Linked DNA regions of Mus musculus. The protein of the gene in region 1 binds, or shares a complex with, the protein of each later gene. Links are inferred from orthologs where the notes say so. Each region holds a gene or a part of one and is shown on either strand. Other genes may lie near its edges.

The links. The genes of interacting proteins can lie anywhere in the genome.
Region 2: Exosc2 (region 1) and Exosc4 share a complex: the UniProt entries of both Homo sapiens proteins name them as parts of the RNA exosome core complex. The link is inferred for Mus musculus from reciprocal best matches to the Homo sapiens genes EXOSC2 and EXOSC4.
Region 3: Exosc2 (region 1) and Exosc1 share a complex: the UniProt entries of both Homo sapiens proteins name them as parts of the RNA exosome core complex. The link is inferred for Mus musculus from reciprocal best matches to the Homo sapiens genes EXOSC2 and EXOSC1.

What each region holds. Positions count from the first base shown.
Region 1 is NC_000068.7:31,673,715-31,677,214, forward strand, and holds part of Exosc2 (exosome complex component RRP4), read left to right. Parts: intron 1-800; coding exon 801-846; intron 847-980; coding exon 981-1,070; intron 1,071-2,124; coding exon 2,125-2,190; intron 2,191-2,651; exon of another isoform or gene 2,652-2,953; coding exon 2,954-3,022; intron 3,023-3,500. UniProt on the Homo sapiens protein: Non-catalytic component of the RNA exosome complex which has 3'->5' exoribonuclease activity and participates in a multitude of cellular RNA processing and degradation events.
Region 2 is NC_000081.6:76,326,175-76,330,196, reverse strand, and holds the start of Exosc4 (exosome complex component RRP41), read right to left. Parts: upstream 2,801-4,022; 5' UTR 2,770-2,800; coding exon of another isoform or gene 2,705-2,769; coding exon 2,534-2,704; exon of another isoform or gene 2,506-2,533; intron 1,168-2,505; coding exon 961-1,167; intron 842-960; coding exon 482-841; 3' UTR 1-481. UniProt on the Homo sapiens protein: Non-catalytic component of the RNA exosome complex which has 3'->5' exoribonuclease activity and participates in a multitude of cellular RNA processing and degradation events.
Region 3 is NC_000085.6:41,930,515-41,934,810, forward strand, and holds the start of Exosc1 (exosome complex component CSL4), read right to left. Parts: upstream 2,801-4,296; 5' UTR 2,781-2,800; coding exon of another isoform or gene 2,769-2,780; coding exon 2,738-2,768; intron 2,651-2,737; coding exon 2,535-2,650; coding exon of another isoform or gene 2,496-2,534; intron 917-2,495; coding exon 842-916; intron 1-841. UniProt on the Homo sapiens protein: Non-catalytic component of the RNA exosome complex which has 3'->5' exoribonuclease activity and participates in a multitude of cellular RNA processing and degradation events.

The DNA.
Region 1 (3,500 bases):
CAAAATGACCAAGTGATAACGGGCGCAGCCCTCAGCAGTGGCTAGCTCCTCTGTATACTTTATTTTCCGTCCTTGTAAGGGTGTTGCAGTAACTGATGTATTTAAGGGTAGTTAACAGAATGAATAGAGTTCCCTAGTTTCCAGTCTGGATGTCTTTGTTTCCCTCCTGCATTTTAAGGTGCCCTCAGCAGGATTTGTGTTGGGCTCATCCTAGAGCGTGACAGGAATCAAGGTTTTGGCCTAAGTGTGGGGTGGGGTGAACACTTACTGAGCTGGGGCTGAAAGGGAGAGAACAGTTTGCTGTGGAGAAGGGGAAGCAGCTGCTGGCAGTGTTCACCTTGTGTTTGTTATCTTTACAAGTGCTCAAGAGCCATTTGTGTGGCTATTGATATCAGGTGGCTTTGTGACTCTACCACCCAGGCGCTGGGATTGTGGATAATTCCCCACCTTGCCCAGCCTCTCACCATTAGAACTCAGTGAGCTCACTGTAATTGAGGGAGCTCTGACCAGAAAAGAGACACAGTCCAATGCCTGGGCCTTAACAAAGGGCATTTCACCCTTGGAATCAGGGTGAGGGACCAGCAAAGTGTCTGAGCCAGGCAGGCAGTGTGGACATGTAACAGCTTGCAGTGAGCAGATGCTTTAAGGATAGCTAATGAGAGTCTGAAGTTCCCAGGTCTAAACAGTAATTATACCCATGTGCTAAAAAAGATGGTTATTGCCTCCCTTCTGTTTGTTCAGCCTCAGACACTGTGTGGCCAGCCCGCTGGCTATTGGTAAGCTTCTGTTTTCTCTTGCAGATACAATGGAGAGGTCGGAGACATTGTAGTGGGGAGAATCACAGAGGTAAAGTCAGTGTTCATAAAGAGAAGGAGGCTGGCGGCTCAGGGATTGGGGCCTTCATCTGTGAAAGTATGAAGAAGGGGCCCTTTGTTTCTGGGGTGGTGTGAAATGCTATCCCACATTTATTTCTCTCACAGGTTCAACAGAAGAGGTGGAAGGTAGAGACCAATTCCAGGCTGGACTCCGTCTTGCTCCTCTCATCCATGAACCTACCTGGGGGAGAGCTGGTGAGTGCTCGCCTGCTCTGGAACTGTCCGGTCGGTCGGGCTGTGGGGCTTTGCTCCACCTGAGAAGTCTGCTTCACATGAGGTTGCTGTGGTTTTGTCACCAGATCTGCTACTTTGGTGAACACAGAGGCTTTTCTTCTAGCCCTGTGCTCTCAACATGGGCAGCAGCTTGTGTGTGGTAAGACCAGAAACACCCATGGCGTGGGCTCCCAGGAGGGAGCTGAGAGGAGGCTCTTGGGTCTTAGGATCTTAGTGCTGATTTCCTTTCTTGATGCCCAGCCTTGCACAGGGAAGGTGTCTCTTGAGGGGTTTGCCTTAGCTTGCTTGCTTTTTGGAGTGTGGGGTGGGTGGGGTTGAGACAAGGTTTCTCAGTGTAGCCCTGACCTGGAACTCACTATGAAAATCAGGCTGGCCTGGAACTCACAGATGTCTGCTTGCCTTGACCTCCCAAATGCTGGGATTAAAGTCATGTGCCACTCTGCCCTGCTTGTCCTTAGTTTTCAGTGACTTGAATGGTACTTGGTTATTGCAGACAGTGACAGGCTTTTGTCCATATCATTGTTGAGTCTGTCATATATTTTGGAGAGGCTCCCTGAGCTGGGTCCTATGGAGAGTACCAGATAAAAGGATGCACAGCTGAGTCCCACAAGGACCATATTATAGATGGGCGGAGGATATGTGATAACAGAGCTGTAAGGTAGCAGGAGAACGAGGAAATACAGGCACCAGAGAACAGATGTTCATAGTGGGACCGTGGAGTGAGGTTGGGGACTCAGGTGAAGGGAGATATGTGACCAGAGACAGCCTGGTGTGAAGTGTGCTGGGTGAGTGGGGCAGTCACAGTGAGTGTGCAGTTGCTCAGGGTCTGATTGTCAACTCAGGGTCCCACTGAGGAGAGCTACTGTCCTCTCCCTTGCTCCCACCTCGTCCTGGCGACCTCTTGTCATAATTCTTCGTATTACAGTACCATGGCTGGCTTCAAGCAGAGAGCAGTGGTGGGGAGAGCCCTTCTGAGGGGCTGTGTCATGTGTTCGTTTGTGCTTGTGTGTTTCAGAGGAGAAGGTCTGCGGAGGATGAGCTGGCCATGAGAGGCTTCTTGCAGGAAGGCGACCTCATCAGTGTATCCTGCACCTCATTCTCTCTCCCCCACAGGGCTGCGAGCGTGTCGGACTCTGTCTGGCCAGGGGAACAGAACCTTGTGGGACTGAGTCCAGGGTACCATGTTCAGGGCTCTGCTGCCCTACACTCATTTTCCTTAGCTCAGAACGATGCTCTGGGTTTTGTAACTTGTGATTCATGGTGAAGATCCAATGGTCTTTCCTTTCTTATTATAAAGGGTAGCCCAGGCTGTCTTGGAACTCACTGTGTACCCCAGGCTGGCCTCAAATACACGCATTCTTATTTCAGCTTCCTGAGTGCTGAGATGTCAGGCATAGGCCATCATTCTTGCCCATGGACCTGCCTGTGTCCAAATTAAGAAAATGTGGACCCAAATTTTCTTTGTTTGTTTTAAAAAATATTTGATCATATTTGTTTGTGCAATTGCTGTGTGTGGAGGTCATAGGACAACGTGCAAGAGTTGGTTCTCTTCTTTTACCTTGGTCTGAGGGATAGAACTCAGCTTGACAGACTTGATGGCAGGTGTCCACCTCACCAGCCCGCAGATGATATGACCATGTATCCATGAAAAGGTTGGTTGTAGCAAGATACTCTTGCCAACCAACCAGGGGGAAGCTGAGGTCATAGTGATATCTCCCATAGAGGGCCATCAAAGATGGCCAGAGTGACCTGCTGGTGATGGTGGTGGGGGAGAAGCTGGCTGCAGGTAGGTGGCACAAGGGAGGGTTGCCAAGGCTACTGTTGTTCCTTCATCACATGAGTAGGCGGAGGTCCAGGCTGTGTTCTCGGATGGAGCTGTTTCTCTGCACACGAGGAGCCTGAAATATGGGAAGGTAAGACAGGCTATGAGGCTTTAAGTTCAGTTCTGAATCCGAGTAGCTCCCTGCATGCTGACCTAAAGACCTGGTAGTTAGCTGGGTGTGGGGTCATGAGCCTATAATCTCAGCTCCCTGGAGGCAGAAGGAGGTGATTAAAACTGGAAGCCAGCATGGTTATATAGAGAGACTGCCTCTTCCTGCATGACCCCCTGCCCCCAACCTCCAATCTAAGAACAAAAAGCAACAACACAGAACCCAGTTATTTTGGACTAGTGACCTACCAGGATAGGGGACGTCTCCCGCCGGTGGCCGGGCAGAGTGGTTGGCATCCTAAATCCATTTCCTCCTAAGGAACCTGTTCTGGTAGAGCCCCTCTGCTTGGGGCTGTGAGGCTGTGAGGCTGTTCTTTCTGGGAATGCTCAGCCCAGCATTGTGAGGCTGGCCGCATGTCCACAGAACCATGTCTACAGGGCCATCATAGTGCTGCCAGAGA
Region 2 (4,022 bases), on another chromosome or scaffold:
CCAGCACTCAGGAGGCAGAGGCAGGCCTGGTCTACAGAGTGAGTTCCAGGACAGCCAGGGCTACACAGAGAAACCCTGTCTCAAAAAAACAGGAAAAAAAAAAAGATAACTTTGCGAAATAAGGCAACTGACAGGCAGGAGACCCCTGCTCCCTGATCAAACTAGTATAAAAACCCTGCCTAATTGAGGCTCAGGGCTCTCAGCACAAATCTGGTGTGTTGGAGGAGTCTGAGGTCCAAGCTTAAGGGTGAAGAAAGTCTGAATTCGCATGCAGATTCATACTCCCAGGGGTCTTTGCGGACCCTAATATCTGGGCAGGCACAACAGGTGCACCCTTGCTCTTCCTAGCACAAGTGCTCTCTCCACTTAGGGACTGCACTATAAACTGCGCTGTAGGGCCCTGAGCAGCTTTTAAGTGCTGTACAGTAAGGTGTACTCGGGAGAAGAACAGGCCTTTATTCTGGAAAGGGGTGGTTGCCACTCAGTCCCCCAGTGAGACAGAGGCCTCCTGCACGTGCTGTCGGACGACAAGGTCCAGCAGAGTGTGCACACCTCGGGCCGCCTGGGCAGCAGCCTCTAGCACCTGCTCCAAGTGGTCTTCGTGCAGCCTCGAGTCCATCTCAAGCAGTGCGATCTGGCCGGAGGCGGGCAGCAGGGCCAGGGCGAGCTGGGGCCCTCCAGCTGCTTCCTCCACGTGGCTGAGGTCCGCTAGTGCTGTGCCATCCACAAAGCCAGCTGAACATGCGCATACAAAGTCCCGCATAGGTATCCCAGCATCCATCACTGCTAGCGTGGCTGCATTCACACATGCTGCGTAGGTCCCACCATCTGCTTGCAGCACCTACAGGGGGCATCAAGACATCTGATGGACTGACATCCGCATCCTGCAGCATCTCAGACAGCCCACATAGCTTTAAGCTCCGCCCCCGGGGGAGGGGTTTGACGGTGCAGGTAGCTCACCTGCACGTAGATGTCGATCTGAGAGCGGGGGTGCAGCTGTGTGAGGATGGCTGCCTCGAAGGTCTGTCGTAGCTGCAGCCCCATCTCACAAGACTTCCGGTCTCCATGAGGCCTTCGCTTGCGCTCACCTGTGCTGAAGGTGGCTGAACTGTACTGACAGTTCACTAGAGCCCGGTCAGGCAGGGCTCGAGACCGGGAGCCCCGGATCTAGAGGAAAAAGAATGAATGAGCCAGGCCTGCCTACCTCCTGGGACGCACTCGATGGCTCAACCTTCCTCCTCCTCTTTCTAAAGTGCTAAAACAAACAAACAAAACCCCAGCTACTCTGGTTCCAAATCATAGCTGAGTGGGGGGGGGGGGCTACTTCTCAACCTAAGCCAAAGCATTGTCACCTTTAGCAGCCAACTCTTTGTTCTTCAGTTTCTCCATTTCCTCCCAAATTATTCCCATTGTGGCCACCATGATTACAAACATCTGGTTTGACTGTGTAACCCACACACTAATATTTTACTTACCTTCCAGAAGCTTCCCATTACAGTAATGTAAAAGAAAAAAAATCTCAATTTCCCTGACTTTCAAAGCCCTGGGTCCTCACCTCCTTGGTAACTCCTCAACTCTATTTGATCTACTGTCCCTCTCCCTACCAAGTCTTCCCTCATGTGTTCTATACCTGATCATCCACCTAGAAAGCCGAGCTCCATATGCTAGCAAACCTTAAAATGTGCACATTTGCCAGCCTTGCTACAGCACTGCGACACAGCAATAAAGGCAGATAATTTAATGTCCTTGTTTTAGGAGTTTATGTTCCCGTAGAGAAACAAGCAAGGTGGAAGACCCAGGAAAATCGATGTAGTAGGTGCAGAAATAGCCTGAGAGGCCTTTTCCTGACAAGATGTGGGAAGAATGAGCTGAAGGAACAGGGAGTGAGTGGAGCTTCGCCAGGCTGGCTGAGGCACCTCAGAGATGAAGCGGGCAGCCCGTGAGAAAAAAAAAAAAAAAAAAAAAAGGCTAAGCAGAGGGCCCACTGAGACGGAGGACTTAAGCTGTAAGACACAGGTATATTCCCTCGAGGTGGGATCACAAGCCCCCGGTCCCTGCATGAGACAAATCATAGTGGCTGAGGGCAATCTGAAGCAGCTCCATACCCCACACGTGGGATCAAAACAAAAACATAATCACATAACATAACTGGGTTCTTAAAGAAACCGATATTCTCAGTACCTCACGGGGCCTAACACACAAATTTGAGGGCCATGTTAGGGACGCAATTTTCCTGAGAACTCAGGGCATAATTATATTCACTGCTTAGAGGATGCAACACAAAGAGGACTGAAATGGAAGTCGGCCAAGAGAAAGAGCTCGTAAGATGAAGTCAAAAGAAGCCAGGTTCTCACATCATCCCCGCTACAACACGTTGGGACAACCTGTGTGAGATGCTTTCTGCCGGGAGGCCCACAGGGACTCAGATGGGATTGTAGTATACTGCTGCATGGGCTCAGGAGTTAAGCCGTACGACTTAGGTCTCCTCCCTTGATGTGCGGCCAGGAGCCCCCGGTCCCCGCCGCTTACTCGCCTCGTGCGGCCCGTAGACCACCGCCAGTGCCTTGGTGTTGCCCTGCTCGATGTAAGCCGAGCCATCGGCCTGCGCAAACACGCCCATCCGCGCCTGGATCTTGCGCAGCTCCCCCGCGCGGCGACCGTCTATCCGGTAACCCTGATCGGACAGGAGCTCCAGCCCGGCCATGATGTACAGTCCTGACTCCGCCTCCGACAGCTCGACCTGGACCTTCAGGACTACGACTTCCGTCGGTACGTTTCCTTTTCAGTCTCGGTGAACTATAGCTTCCGGTAGCCTAGTCGCTTTCCGGTCAAAGGGAACTGCGGCTTGTGGCATCCCCGGCTTTCTGAATGTTCGACTTAAGCCTTTCAGTTCCGGGAAACGGAAGGCCCGAGGCGAACGGGTTTTTGTGCTTCTCCCGGGTTGTTGGAGTAGGTACGCCAAGAAGACTGGCTTCCGGACGTCTTTGGTTTGTTGGAGATGCTGGCCCGAGCAGAGACATTTTTTGGTCTTATTTTTTTTAATTGTATATCTATTTTTATTGTATGAGTGTTTACTTGCTTGTATGTCTATTCGTCACATGTGTGCTTAGTGCTGTGGAAGTTAGAAGAGGGCGTCAGATCCCATGGATCAGGAACTACAGGCAGCTGTGAGCCACTGTGTGAGTGCTGCGGAATCAAACCTGGTCCTCTGCCCGCGTGGTTTTTACCGTGGTCAGTTTAGCTAAGCACAGTTGTTTGTTACACATGATTATTATCTCTGTGGCTTAGTTTGTTTGTTTGTTTTTTTTTCCTTTTTTCATTTCCTTGGTTAAATCCATAAGTTTCCCTCCCTTACCTTGCCCAATAAGTTTCTCTATCACTTGAATACAAACACAAAGGGCCTGCAGTTGTATATATGCATCTGTATAGTAGGGCTTGAAATTCTGATTTTTTTTTCTGATTATTTTTAAAGTGTGTTTTTAGATGTTTATTTATTGTTATATCTAAGTACACTGTAGCTGTCTTCAGAAACCAGAAGAGGGCGTCAGATCTCATTACGGGTGGTTGTGAGCCACCATGTGGTTTCTGGGATTTGAACTCAGGACCTTTCTTTGGAAGAGCAGTCAGTGCTCTTATCCACTGAGCCATCTCACCAGCCCGGAATTCTGATTTATTTTTAAGGATTGGGTCATTTAGTATACACTTTTTTGGAGTGTTTTCACTCGGAATATGAAATCAACAGTCCTCAGGTTTTGTTGTTGTTGTTATAGATAAAAGATAGATTCACAGAAAGAACACTGAGCTGAAATTACTCTTCAGGTGGGCCTTATTAGGAGAGTTAGGGCACCGCTGTCACAGACAGCAACGATGCACCCTTGTGGGCAAGAATATTCAAAGGAGTATGCTCTGGAGAGATGAGTGTGACATAGAACAACACAGGTGTCCTGGAGGGAAGGCGCATTCAGTTCTGAAGAGTTAGGAGAGTTAGAACATCACACCAGCCAGCTGGAGCGGCTCAAGCC
Region 3 (4,296 bases), on another chromosome or scaffold:
TTGGGACACAGATCTACCACGCAGCCCGGCTCCCCTTTGAGATCCCCCACCTCTCAAGCACCATCTGAGGAGTGTGCACCTATGCCTGCAAAACTTTCTGTGATGTCATTTCCTGGGGCTGGACAGATGGCTCAGCAGTTACAGAGCACTGGCTGCCCTGGTAGAGGGTCTGGATTCAATTCCTAGCAGGCACACGAGGGCCTATAGTCATCTGCGCCTTCAGTCCCAGGGGGTGCCACACCCTTCCCTAGGCTTTGTGGCACCAGGCATGCATATGACGCAGACAAGGTGACTATTCACACGCGATAAAACAAAACAAAATAAAGAATCATTTGCTAGACCCAAGGGTGTACTTCAGAGGAGTCCATCACTTTCCCACACCCCCCAAACAAAAGTCCTATGCCAGCCAATATGGCAGTCACTAACCACGATTTGCTACTGATTACTTAAAATGTGAAGAGCGTTGGGACTGTGGGGTACAGGGTCTCACTCTGTAGCCTATTCTGGTCTTGAACTACTGTCCAATAACTCTGTTCAGCTTCCAGATACTGAGACCACAGATAGGATGAATCGTATCTATATTGTAGCCTGGCTAAAAATAAAATTTTCATTTTTCTTTTCTTTTGAGACAGGGTTTCTCTAGGAAGCCCTGGCTGTTCTGAAACCACTCAGTAGACCAGGCTGGCCTCACGTATCTACCTGCCTCTGCCTTCTAAGTACTGGGATTAAAGGCCTGAGTCAACACATCCAAATAAACTTCAACAGCCCTATATAGCCAGGCGACTACTGAATTCAGCAGCCGACCATGGCAGCTATAGCACAGTGACTAGGACCCGCTCACCTTACAGGTGACGACAGCTCCCACATCTGGAAGCAACTGGGACTCTGTTTCTCTCATCACTGACACCACGGGAACCTGTGGAGAAAATAGAAAGGTCAGTGTAGTGGCTAAGTAAGCCTTGGTTTGAGAAAGCAGCCTGTAGATTAGTTTTTAGCCTATAGCAGAGGACATCAGTCATTTTAGGAAATAGAGGATCAGAAGCCATTAGAATTAGGTGGCCAGGTTTAATATAGCCTTTCTGATTAGTTGTAAATTACTGAAGATTCTCTTGGAATTTCCTGGTACAAATCCTTTTGCTTATAATTATGAATATCCTGACTCTTCCAAGCTATACTTTTTTTTTTTTTTTTTACACTTCATAAGTCAGATCTTGCAATTAAATGCTACAGAATGGCAACTCTTGTTTTAGTCCAATGGCAGCTGGCAAGTACCATCTTACCTCTCTTGCTTGGTGCGGTTTCCTCACCTTACTAAGTCCCTCCCATGTCAGTGTCCGTCTAACCCATTCTCTACAGGAGGATCACATTCTTTGCTCTCCTCCACCTCTACTTATATTCAGATGACTAAATCCTGTCACTGTCTAGAATGCACAGAGCCTGTTACATGTTCTTATTGTACCGCACAATTCTTTTGTACATTTGCTCATGATTTCTGTCCGCCTCCTCAGTAAGAAAAGCTGTGTATTGGGCTCGTGACTCTATCCCCAGTAGCAAATAAGGGCAGCCCTGAGCAGGTCACATTGAAAGTGCTCAAGAGACATCGATGCAGTGACTAAACACACAGGCTGAGGCTGACTTTATCTCCAGAACCAACAGACTGGAATCTGTTTTTACAAATAAGCTCAACACAAAGAGAGATGTTTAGGTCTAGCCAGTTCCTAAAGAGTTTTTATTTTTTCGGGAGATTGGATCTGTGGTCCCAGGGTCAGCATACTACGTAAGCTCTGTACTGATGAGCCACAAGTCTAAGGTTTTAGTTTTTATTTATTTTTTATCGTCTTACATGTATCAACGATTGCTTTTATCTGTGCCTGTTAGAAGCTGGGGATACGCTGGTGTACCACCAATCGTGGCTCCACTTAAATGTCTAGTTGGGCAAGAATCTAGTGATCAAGAGTAACATTTAAATAAGTGCCCTGGAGGGAGATTCTTGGGCATATCGATCCTTCTGCCACCAAACCCACTTTTTTTTAGTCAGAAGGTCCAGAAGGGCTTCTCTGGGAAAAAAAAAAAACAACTAAAAAAACCGATTAAATAAAGGGGTTGAGCAGGAGTGTGTTCCAGATAGACGACACGTGAATTGCACAGGCTTCGCGACAAGAGCGAGCTTAGTGCACTAAGACACTGGAAATCGCCAGCATTACTACATTGATGTCAGTGACGTGGGACACATGAAAGCGGAGGGGTAGTCGAGATGTACCACGTGAGGAAGCTCTCGGCTGGCTGGGCTACTCTTACATTTGCGTGCTTTTCCCTCCACTTCCTTCTGTGTGCATCCACAGAACTTAAGTCAGATTAACCTAACGGGTGTGCGGCCGGTGTGCTTCAGCACAGCGCAGAGATCACAGCCGGGAGACCAAAGCGTTCTGCGGCTGAGCCACCAAAGACGCGTCCGCCCGCTCTGCCTGTGCCCAAGGACCGGAACTCAACGGCACCCGGAGAGGGAACGCGCGCTGGGTAGCCGCTTCCTTTACCGCGCCATTCTCGCTGGTCTTCATCAGGCAGCCAGCCAGCGACGAAAAGATGTAGCCATGCCGGGTGTAGGTGCCGCTGCCGGGGCTGCCTTCCTCCAAGTTACACAGACGTTCGCCTGCAGAAGACAAGCTGCCTCAGCCACGGGCTCCCAGAAGCTGGTTGCCACACAGCCTGGAACTGCGTGCGGAGACCGCTCACTTACCGGGGATGCAGTACCTCACCGGTGGTGCCATGCTTGCCACCATCCACAACCCGGATGAGAACCAAGACGACTTCTCATTGGTCAGCTAGAGGAGCGGCCTCGCAGTTACACGAGTACCAATTGGCGCCTTCGACCGCACGGGGTGTAAGAGCGAGGTCTGACTCCATTTCCCAGGCTGCCCCGGGACAGATCTCTGGGCGTGCCTTTGCGGGCTCCGGGCCTCGCGCCTGCGCAGCTGGGTGGTGATGGGCGGGCGGCGGGTCCCGGTCCGCTGGCTAGCGCTGTGGGCTGAGGGCCATGGTGGGTCAGCCTTAGCTCGGCCCGGCCTGGGTCCTGAGCTGGAAGGGGAGGCAGTGGGTGGCGGACAGGGAGACTGGGCCTAATCTGGCTGATTGAGAAGCTGGCAGGAGGCAGGTAAGAGTAAAGGCGCGGTTCTTGCTTCCCATCCGAGTCCCGGTGTCCAGGCCTTTAAGTTAAGTTCCTGATCTCTCTACGACCTGCCCTGCGTGGATGCGTCCTCCTAGGTCCGAACGCATTTTCAGCCCCAACTCGCCCATTTCATGAGTTTGAAGACTCAGATCCAGGTTTGCTTTGTACAACAAAGTGTCGAAGTTGGTTCGAGACAGCCCAAGCTTAAGCCGATTTTTTTTTTTTTTTTGGACCTGAGCCCATCATAGATGGACCCTGCTGCACCTGGAGACACAACCTTTTTCTAGTTTTGTAGAACGACAGTTTCTTCTCTTGCAGGCAGATACTCTATAGAGTGTGAGCTCCTTAACTATGAATGAGCAGCTTGACGTTAGCATAGCATTCCTTTTGCTTTTTTTTCCCTTTTAGCATGTTAGCCGGGAAAGAAGCCTTCATTAATAGAATATTGTGCTTTATTGATATCTGACATCAGCTTGAGGTGGCAAAGGTTCCGGGAGCAGCAGCTTTTTCCGGATGAAATTTGCCATGACTTTGATCTCACTTTCATCTATTGGCTCTGGAGTTTATTGCTCTCTCCCCTTCCCTCCCTGTCAGCCAGGCTTCTTTGAGATACAGATGGTGATTTAGGGGAGTGCTCTTGCCTGCTAATCTCTAATCTGGTGGCAGATGGCCACTGTGGCCTGTGGGTCCTACTGAGAGGTGGCAGTACTTGGAGTGTGGAGAAATTATGCTGGCTTTATTCCTCCTCCGTGCATTCAGGTCATTCGTGCCTTCCCGCCACATTTAGATGTAAATACGACTTTGCTTTTTCTCTGTTTCCTGAGGGAAAACTTTTTCACTTGTGGCCCATTTAATACGTCTTTTTCTAGCCTCGTCATTATCCTGATATCCCATTAGGCTGAGGGGAGAGGGTCCTGGTCTCACTCTGTTCACTCAGAGTTGATAGGCACCACAAGCTTTCCATTTTACGGGTTTGATTTCCGGTTTGATTTGTCCTCTAGGTTATTGATCTCTAGAGCTATGATTCTAATACTGGTTTTATTTCTTTGTTAATCAGAAAGGATGAGCGCAGCAAATACTTGGGTGTTATCACATTGGTGAGAGTGTCTTTGCTGGCTCCTGTACAGCTG